Linked DNA regions of Drosophila melanogaster. The protein of the gene in region 1 interacts with the protein of each later gene in a pairwise test. Each region holds a gene or a part of one and is shown in the gene's direction. Other genes may lie near its edges. The genes, in order: pico and Trim9.

The links.
Region 2: the proteins of pico (region 1) and Trim9 interact in a two-hybrid assay, tested with the Drosophila melanogaster proteins (one study listed by BioGRID).

The regions. Positions count from the first base shown.
Region 1 is NC_004354.4:19,848,846-19,854,012, reverse strand, and holds the start of pico (pico), read left to right. Parts: upstream 1-1,953; 5' UTR 1,954-3,000; coding exon 3,001-3,150; intron 3,151-3,962; exon of another isoform or gene 3,963-4,068; coding exon of another isoform or gene 4,069-4,071; intron 4,072-5,167. Other genes in the region: Nup205 (nucleoporin 205kD), read right to left, coding at 1-134, 199-761, 852-953, 1,041-1,364, 1,444-1,665.
Region 2 is NT_033779.5:10,542,800-10,547,937, forward strand, and holds the start of Trim9 (tripartite motif containing 9), read left to right. Parts: upstream 1-2,083; 5' UTR 2,084-2,604; coding exon 2,605-3,501; intron 3,502-5,138. UniProt on the Drosophila melanogaster protein: E3 ubiquitin-protein ligase activity. During embryonic and larval development, regulates the pattern of axonal projections of class IV nociceptive sensory neurons (C4da) downstream of netrin receptor fra.

The DNA.
Region 1 (5,167 bases):
GACCCTCGTTTAGGAAGCTGATGATCGTGTGTGACGACTCGTCTGCTCGGCCGCGCAGCTCCGACACCTTGGAGTTCATGAAGTCGATGAAGTCCGTGATGAGCAGATGGACGCGGCGGTAGAAGAACTGCGTGCTGTCAGCACAAATGATGATTAGCTTGCGAATCGGCAATTGACACTTCAGTTGTCAGTACTCACCTATAGACCAGATCCTTCTCGAGCAGCAAGCTGTGGAAGAAGACGAATACCTGCGCTCCCAGTGCCTCGTCGATGAGCATCTCATCGCGATTGATGATCGAGATGGCGGTGGCCTGAAGCTGCAAAGGTGCATGCCGCAGGCTGGCCAGCGTTAGTCCGAAGCTGTAGGCAATGATGGCATTCAGGCGCGGTGCTTGCCAGCTGCTCTGCGCGTACAGCTCCTCCAGGAAGCACTCGGCGAACTCGCGATCGCTGAAGATCGGAAGTCGGGTTGTGTGCTCATTGGGTTCCTCGGTGACCAGCAGCATGGAGGTATCGTACGCATACAGCAGAGCCATCAGCATGATCAGGGTCACGTCGTCCATGTTGCCGCCCGCGTCGTGGTTCTTTCGGTTGGCCAATTGGTGCATCAGCCGAATGGCAATGTGTCGCGGCAGGCCGCGTTGTGCCGACCAATTGAACAGGGCCATTGCCAATGCCTGTTGAATGTCCTCGTATAGGCCGAGCACCTGGTTCTGATGCTTCTTGGAGCCAAACGCGCGGTTTGTGGTCAGCATAGCGCACTGCGAACGTTGGACAACAAATGAATAACAATTTGCGAAGGAAGATATGCAATTTCAGAGAATTTCAGAAACAGGCGCATACAAACCCACCTCCTTGTCGACATCCATCTCCTCGAGCAGCTGCAGCAGGCGTCCCAGTATCCCAGAGCCGTCGACAAGGCTCTCGGCATAGTTAGTGACCAGACCGGTGATCTGCGTGCGTAGAACGATAATCAGGGTCAGTGAATCTCTCTTTCAGCGGCACTGCGATGCCTGCGATGTCGAAATCTCGAAACTTACCTCCTTGGGCAGTTCGGTGTTCCACGAGACGCCGCTAACCACCTGGAACATGTCGCGAAGCGTGCAGCTGATGGCCTTTCGTCCATCGTAGTAGAGCAGCACCGCGACAAGGCCTCTGGACAGGCCGGGATGATGCTTCTGCTGGCGCTGTGCGGTGCACAGCAGCTCCACGGCGAAACCCTCGTCCAGATCGAACATGTCGGACAGAATGACCGCCTCGTCGGCCAGGTCCTGTGACATCTTTGTCTTTCGCGAATGCCCCTGCATCGGGACGCCTTCGTTGAGGGCATTTCGTAGGAGATTGCGGCTCTTCTCGCTTCTCGGCTGCCGACATTTTCAATAATGGATTATCAATAATTAGTTAAATCTACGGATCTGCAAGCGCTTGTTTTGCTATACCCACCGGATTGCGCAGCAAGTTGCTGAAGTTGTGCTTGTACTTCTTGAGGCACTGCTCCAGATCCGAGGTGAAGCCACTGCGATTGGACACCGCGGTCTGAAAAGTGTTGTACAAATGCTTGTACGGCGTCCACATGTCCTCGATTACAGCTGTGGACGCATGGGTGGCATTAGTGATTTGGCGACCCACGCACATCTGCTCGTTGGCCAGGCACTCACCATCCATTTCACTTGGTTTTGCGGTTCGCTCAGTTCACGCAGTTCTTGCTGATTCGCAGTTATTGACTATAAAACGCGGCAAGATTGCTTCGCTTTGCGACAAGGCGCCGGTTACCAGGGCTGGGTGCTGCAAATACTGGAAAACACAGATGTTCACCACCGTACGAACTCACCACGCTCGTACGCGCTTCGGTGCTTGTGCCCGCTAACTGCGGTTGCTGCGCTGGCTAAACGGTTGATTCGAACCAAGTCAATCGGAAAATCGATGCTTATCGAACGATAATCGAGGCGCTGCATCGGTGCGTTGTCGCACCACTAACTAACACAACTTCAGTGCGGCGCGGGCGGGGCGTTTTCGTGAAAATCTACGCACGGACTTTTCGTAGTTACCCGATAGTAGCATCCATTTGTTTTGTTCCGATTCGCGTTTTTTTTTTTTTCTGTTCTCCGCCACTTGATTTGGCCAGCGAACGCACTGCCCAAGTGGTGTCCTGTTCGCATTGTGAGTGAATCACCGATGGCCGCGGGCAGGCTGAACTGCACCATAGTGGGATGCTGGTTCTGGCTGTCGATGCAAGTGGATGTGGAAGTGGATGTAGAAGTGTAAATGCAAATGCAATCGGCGCAGTTCGGCTGCAATAAATGCCAAAAGGGATACTAACTGCCAAAGCCAGTGCAATTGGAAGGAAAATTCAAATTTCATTGGGAATTATTCGAATTGGAATTGAATTTGTAACTGGAGTTGGAGTTCAGAGTACTTGGTACTGGGTGTGCGAGAGCGACAGAGAGGAAGAGAGGCAGTGCAAGTGTGTGGGGGTAGCAGTCACACAGGCACACACGAACATACTCACAACTCCAGTGCATAAAACTCCAAACTGCGTTCGCCTCTCTCTTTTCGTTTCGCTTGCTCTCTCCCCTACGTTCGCCCACGCAACGCCTGGCGAGCGAGAGAGAGAGCGGTATAGAAGAGCAAGGGAGCCAGAGCGAGAGAGCAAGGAAGTGGTTTTTCCACCGAAAATATGGACAAAGGCAAACTGCAGAGTTAGCTGAAAATAAAAAAAAATAAAAAAAAGGAACAAGACACAAACAGTGACTGAAATAGCGGTTAACAGCGCTCCCTTACGGCGAATCGTTGAAATTCAAGACGGAGAGCTATCGCATTTCTTCAATTATGTCTGTTTCGCTTTTCATTCCGCTGCAGTAAGCGATCGCGCGAAGGAGCAGCAATACAGAGAGCGAGATTTGGAGAGAGAGAGAGAGAGATAGAGAGTGCGCTCCCAATTGACGACTCCACTCCACTCCCACACACACTTAACCCCGCCCCCTCGCACCCGTAATTACTATGGATTGTGGTGGTATTGCGGCACATCAGCAACAACAACTACAACAGCAACAACTGCACTTACTCCAGCAACAGCTACAACAACAACACCACCAGCAGCAGCGGCAACAACAACAGCACAGCCTCGAGGAAGCAGCAACAATAACAAATGTAAGTATCTCCCAAGTTTCTCCAAATGTGTGTGTGCGTTTGTGTTGCTCGACCATTTCCTCTGTACTTCATAATTCGCTCCCACACACAAAAAAAAAAGAAGTCATAGGACAGAGTACACAGGAAGAAACTGAACTATACCTTTAAAGTACAGCTTCTTCAAATTATAGTAAGAACGGTGCAAATGGTAGACTCACATATGGTTGGTAATTGTATTAACTATAATTCTCTATTAGTGTTTTTTTTTTCGAGTGTATTCAGTATACTTTACTCCTTGGCTATGAAAATAACCTAGTTATGCAGTGCTAGGTGATCAAAAGACTTCAAATTCGGTACTCCAAAGTTGAGACTGCCCAACTAGTATCATGGATATAGTTTCCTATAGTTTGATAATATAGAAACTTAAAACTTTACCACTCCCCCCATTCGATGGGTCAAAGGAGAATTAATAAAAGCAAACGCAGAGAGCGGAATGATTAATCTTTGGACCAGCTGCTGGGGCAAAAACGACCACAAAAAGTGCTCAATGCTTTCAAGTCCAACAGAATGCCGACCCATTAATTGGTGTACTAACTTTTTCGCTCTCTCTTGCGCCTCTTTCTCCGTTCTTGCCCCATTACTTTCACCGTGCATAAACGCTGAAAAGAGTTCCCGATCGTTGTGGTTCTGTTTTTCGTTTTTCGCCTCTGAGGTTCTCGATTTGTTTATGCGCGGGCGGCGGAAGAAAACCCGATTCCACACGAAAAAAGTCAAAGGCGATGTGCGATACCATGCGGCAACAGCAACAAACGCGATGTTGTTGCTGCCCCTTTGTTTTGCCGCAACAGCGGGCGTCGCCCCGCTCCCCTAAGCCACTTCACTTCCCAGCAGTTTGTGGCACAACCCCAACCAGGAAGGTCGATTAGTTTCTGGATCAGAATGGTAACAAACAGTTAAAACAAAGGCTCCATTTGGACGAGATAATAATCAGATCCAACAAAAACATTTTGTTTATAAGTGAACTATATATTTAAACAATGTTTGAACATCGCTTGGCTGGTCTCAATAGATGTAATTTCAGTTGAAGTATATCTTACATATATTAGAGATACATTTGGTACAAAGGAAATTAACCTTTAAAATTGTTATTTTTAAAAATGGTTTAACAATTGGAATTCCCTTAAGTCCAAATGTTTAAAATAATAGTTATCCACAGTCCTCCAGTTTTATATATATATATATACTTTATATCTTTGCAAGTAAGCCCTGTTTGTTGTCAGTCGCGGTTTTGTTCACTGCACACAAACATTTTGTATCTATGTAAATAAATACATACATACACATACATATAGTTTAGAGTGAACTGTCAGGATGCCAGGACGTGACTGCGTGCAGCTCAAGGACGAGGACATGGGAATTGGCCTCCCGGTGCGTGTCAAATTTGCCTAATTGCGCGCAGAGGTCAGCAAATTCTGAAAAACTGCGCTGCCCATTTGACCATTTCTACTTGGCCAGCACGCACATTTTTCATTTCCCAAAAGCAAATATTACACCTCAGCATAAAAGGTTGAGTAAGCAGTTTGCTTGACAGCAGGACAATCTGTTAGTTGGCATTTTTGGATTGTTTCAAACTAGTGAGTTTATACAAAACTCATTGAAAAATGTTGCAAAAATACTTGACAACTTTTTTCACTCCAATTCCATATCTTGTGTGAAACAATTTAGGAAAAAAAACTACTTCGATATGTAAATTCTTTTTTGATGAAGTCATTATGCAGTTATCAAATACATTTATCTAGTTTTTTCTTTAAATTCAAGCTATCCTCTGGTTTCCGTGCATATAAGGCAGTTTATAAGACCAGGGATTGGATGTACGTTTTAAGAAATATACTTTCAACTGCGTTAACAACATAATATTTAAATTTTTATTTTTTTATTTTTAATTTCTTTTAAAAATGTAACTCATTCAGATAGGTATATTCTTAATGTTAATGTAGTGAGTCGCTTTGTTCCCACAAAAACAGAGAAGATTGATTAA
Region 2 (5,138 bases), on another chromosome or scaffold:
ACAATAAATAGACTAGCATCTTAGATACACGGTAATACATATCAAGATTTAAGTTTGGTTATCTGAGATACATTTCAATATCTGACATTGAAAATTGTATTTAGTACCATTTTGTTGAACATTACGAGTCTTTTTTAAATGATGCAATAATTAAGCATGTCATCAATCCCAGTTAAGGCTATCGTTTTTTGTGTATCATATTCTTTGGCGCCATCTCCCTTCCAAAGTTCACACATAGGTCAGGAGAGTATAAAAATCAATACCACGGCAATTAGGCGCCCAGCTCGTCCCCTTTCTTCGTCACTGGCTGTCCGATTTTGTGATTTATTAGTCAGTTAGAAAAAGAATACAAGGCGGAAATTAAGGACTCGGCTGGGAAAAAGTAAAGCAAACAACAATAAATTGAGTCAAATTAAGCATACGAATGCGTTCCCTGTCAATATTTGCATAGTCGAGTGAGACGTTCGTCTGGTGGCTTCGGTGCGGCATTCAGGTGGGGAGCCACTTAACACCTCCCGATTCCAAATCCAGATCAAATACTCCAGCAGGAACGTGGCTTATTAAGTCGAACGGATTACGCACTGCTCTGGGTGGGGATATGCTTGAATTGGGAAAGGGGGGAGTCAGGCACTTTCCACGCCGCACGATTTTCTTGCTACGTTCTCCATCATTTTCCTTAACCGTGCTGTATAGCGTGCACTCAAAAAAATATCTGTAAAATATCAGAATACTTTAAACAATTTTTGTGTTAGCACCATTTGAAAAACCCTTTGTTAAATTTAAAATGAATCAAATATAGTATATGAAATAGTATTATTACTTTCCTAAGGTATACATACTGAAGAAAGCTATTTATTTATTTAACACCATCATGCTAACGATTTTCTCTCTGTGTAGATAAACATCTAGAGCAGGTCACCTATTTGTATTTAGCTTTCCGATATCGAATGTCAGTTACCGTGGGGAATTCTTCACCATCCTCAATCGCTAGCTCTCGATTTCCCGCTCGGTTGGCCGCTCCGGTGTCAAAACAAACTGGAAAACGGTCTGAAACAGAGTCCGATTTTAAATCAGTCAAACAAACAGCGTGGTCCAATAATATTTGTAGATCGTAGAATCGACGTAGCTGACACCTCCATTGGGGAATGAGCGATGTAGTACATACCTTCATATAAGCACTTGGTACTAGGAATGTCGCCATGTGCACGAGTGGGTCGGTGGCCGGTCGGGGCTTATCAGTGGTGCAGTGGTATAGTGGTGCACTGGTGGCACCGACATTACCTGCTCACTTACCTGAGCCACTTACAGTGGTGGTACTCCAATTAATAGCTCTTCAAGTCCAAGTCAAAGTTGACAAATAGTTTGGTCAGTCGTGAGGTTCCTTGCCAAACTTTTGCTGCTGCTTGGAACTTTGTTATTAAAAGTTGGTACAATTATTATATAACTACAATATTATAAAAATATCACAAACTTTATTTATTCTTAAAAAGAATAATTGTTAGTTGCTATTACTTCTGCAGCTGGTGTAAAACAAACGTATTGTACTGATAAAGGTTTATCATATTATATAGCTTTAGTTCAATCTCACGATAAGGCAATTCGTGCATTACGATAGAAAATGCGATAGTGAAATTGAACGCATATTTGTTTTTAATGCTTTGTTGAAATATTTTTATTTATTATTATATTATTTTTAATATCCTTATATCAAATTCTTAATTTCCAGTGCTTACTCAGAAAATTATTCTTAAGCAGTCGCTCTCAAACTGTAGTCAAACTGTCAAGTTAGAATGTTCGAATCGAGCCAGCTCATGTTCGAATCGAACTTCAGTCAACAAATAACAACTAACTCACATGACAAATAAAAAACAATAAAAAAAACAAAAAAAAAAATAATAATAATTTTATTTTACGTTTATACGTTTTACAATAATTATTTTTGCGTATGTTTCAGCGGTTATTAGACAATAGTTTAATTTCATTCGAACTTGAAGAAGTTCGGTATGAAGAAGTTGGTTCGCTCAGTCGAACGCATTCGAGTTCGAATTGAAACCTCGACTGCGGAAGCAAGTTATTCCACTGCCAGTCGTTCAAAAATCTCAAGCGGATCGGTCGTGTTGCGGATGCCCAAAATCGAAATTGGTCGCGTTCAAAAGTTAGGCGCGTAATCAAAGTGGCAAGAAAGTTGAATAGAAAGAAAACAAACTGCAAAATATATATATAAAAAAAAACAAAGGACATTTTTAACAAAATTTGTGAAAAGTGAATTTTCCAAGGACTTGAAATTGAATTCAAAGTGAAGATTGGTAAAAAGTGTGGTACTGTTGAGATACCAAAAACTACGAACTAAACAAAAATTGCGCAAGTTTCAAATGTGGAAAACAATTTATGATTTGGTTTTAACGCACAAGTTGTAAACAAGAAACAGGATTTTAAACGCGATTTTATTAAAGTGTAAAGTGAATAATTCGAGGATTACCAAAGACATGTTGTCCCAAAGAGTGCAACCCAACTAAAGCGAGGATAAAACCGATTTAAACAGGACCTCTGACCTCGCCAACTCAATCCGAATCGCATTGCTCTTGCGGATTATAACCACCAGACATGGAGGACGAACTGCGCTGTCCCACGTGCAAGCAGCTGTACGCCAATCCGGTGCTGCTGCCATGTTTCCACGCCCTCTGCCTGGGCTGTGCCCTGGACATCCAGACGCCGTACAGTCCGGGATCGGCTCTACCGGGCGCTGTCAACGGAGCGGGTGCAGCTTCGGCAGCGGGACACAATGGGTTGCATGGCAATGGAGGCGGTGCCGGCGGCGGAGCAGCTGCTCCAGTCACAAATCCCAATGGACCCGGCACACGGCACAGCTCGCACAGCTCCGCTGCCAGCACGGCCAGCTCGAATACCGGAAGCGAGAGCGTCACCTCCGACCAGGATCAGTCGGACAAGGTGAGCATCTTCAGCGAGGCGGACTCGGGCGTGGTCTGCTGCTCGAACACATCGCGTCCGGTGTCCTATGCCGGCACAGGACTGCTGCCAGGAGTGGGCAATGTGGTGGCACCGCCTGGAGCCGCCTACTGTCTCACCTGTCCGCTCTGCCGCAAGCTCGTCTTCTTCGACGACGGAGGCGTTAGGAATCTGCCCACCTACCGCGCCATGGAGGCCATTGTGGATCGCTTTTGCGCCCGCGAGGCCCTCCGCTGCCAGATGTGCGAGACCGATCCCAAGGTCGCTTCCCTGATCTGCGAGCAGTGCGAGATTCGCTACTGCGACGCCTGCCGCGAGTTGACCCACCCCGCCCGCGGACCGCTGGCCAAGCACACGCTGGTCAAGCCGCGCGGCGCCGCCCAGCAGAGGGAGTCCGTCTGCGGGGAGCACGAGGAGACCCTCTCCCAGTACTGCCTCAGCTGCAAGGCTCCCGCCTGCGGACTTTGCATCGGAGAATTGCGCCACCAGGCACACGACGTCCAGTCCATCAACGTCACCTGCAAGGCTCAAAAGGTGAGTTGTGTGATGGGATTTCGATAGTTAAATAGTTGACTTTAATGATTGCGAGTTGCATATGCCATATCAAAACGAGAAACTGCTTGAATCTATACTACAAGTACAAGTATTTATTAAATTAATTTGTTAAATGCACAATATGCTCGAATCCTTCAGTCAATATTGCAGACCATTCTACTAACAGCCAGACAAATACAAATATTTGTTTAATTTATTGGTAAACAAAGTGCTTTTATTTGAAAGACAGAAGAGGGAAGATGTGCTAATTAAAGAAATACCAAATAGGAATTGGTTATTTATGCAAACCAAGTTCAGATCCCAGCAGTTTGTGTAGAGCCAATAAAGGCCAATGATATGACCGTGATGTCCGGAAATTCATTGCCAGGAATCAAAAGAGTCCTTTTTGGGGGGGTCGAAGAAAAATACGGCATTGAGGCAAACTAATTAGGGGCGAAAGTAGGGACCTCATGAAATAAATATGTATTTGCTGGCGAAGGCATCGCATATCCTGGCCACATCCTGGCTTGCTTCCTCCTTTTTAGTTGATTGTATTCCATTTCTACTGTTGCCTTTCGTCTGGCTTTTTTGTGGAAAATTTATGGCTTGTCTTGTGGCCCCGAACATTTTTCATGCAACATTGTTTTGCTGCAAGTATTTGGGAATATTGGTGCTTAAAGCAGCTTGCAAATCAACGAAATTGTATTATGAATGTGGAACTGTAGAAAAGGATAACAACAAGGCTTGAAAAAATACTAAGAATTTTTGTACATTTCACAACTGCAGACAAACATTTTGAAAGGGGTATCTCTGAGTCTGTTAGCCAGTTGAAGTATTTCATTAAAGCAAATTCTTTACAACTTCTACCCACCTTCGTTAGCTTTTGTTTTGACGGAACCTTCCAAGTGCCACAATCTCGCAACTTTGGCACGCTAATTCAGCGATAAGTTTCGTTTTCCTACCTTTTGGAATTTCATTTCACAGAACTTCAGTGGCATTTTTTGTTTTGTTGTTGTTTTTTTTGGCCCTCTCACCTGTCGTTCGCCAGTTGAATTCATGAATTCGCCGTCTGTCGTCGAATCACTGGCAATTGTCAACGGCAGCAATTTTAATATGGCAAATGTTTCGAGTGCCTGCACATCCTGTCATCCAAGGACAACAAACCGACGCCAGCGGAAGAGGACGAACTGCGACAAGGACAGAGCCAAGTGCGAAAAGTGACAAATTGCAGTGGCAGCCAAAACAAAGGATGACAGTGAGGCAGGGAAATCAACTGTCTAGTCAGGTCAAGAAGGATATTATCCGAAGGATAACAAGGCAGAAGGAATAGAAAGCATTTTTTGTATCCCAAAAACAAATGCGCAAAAGTATTTCACAGTCTCTGGTCTCTGGTTTAACCTGTAATCTAACTAAGAATCTCAAGCAGGATTTCCAGCAGAAGTGGGCTATTAGATACATATAAATAGGTTAAAAAAACATTACTATTTCGATAGTACATTTGATAGACCCGCACTATAAACTGGAATATTCGAATAGATAAATTTTCCTGCATTTTCACCATATTTCATAATTGAAGAGTACGCGCAATGATAACAGTATCTGTGGCGCATTTCGCCCTATTTGTATATCTATTTGGG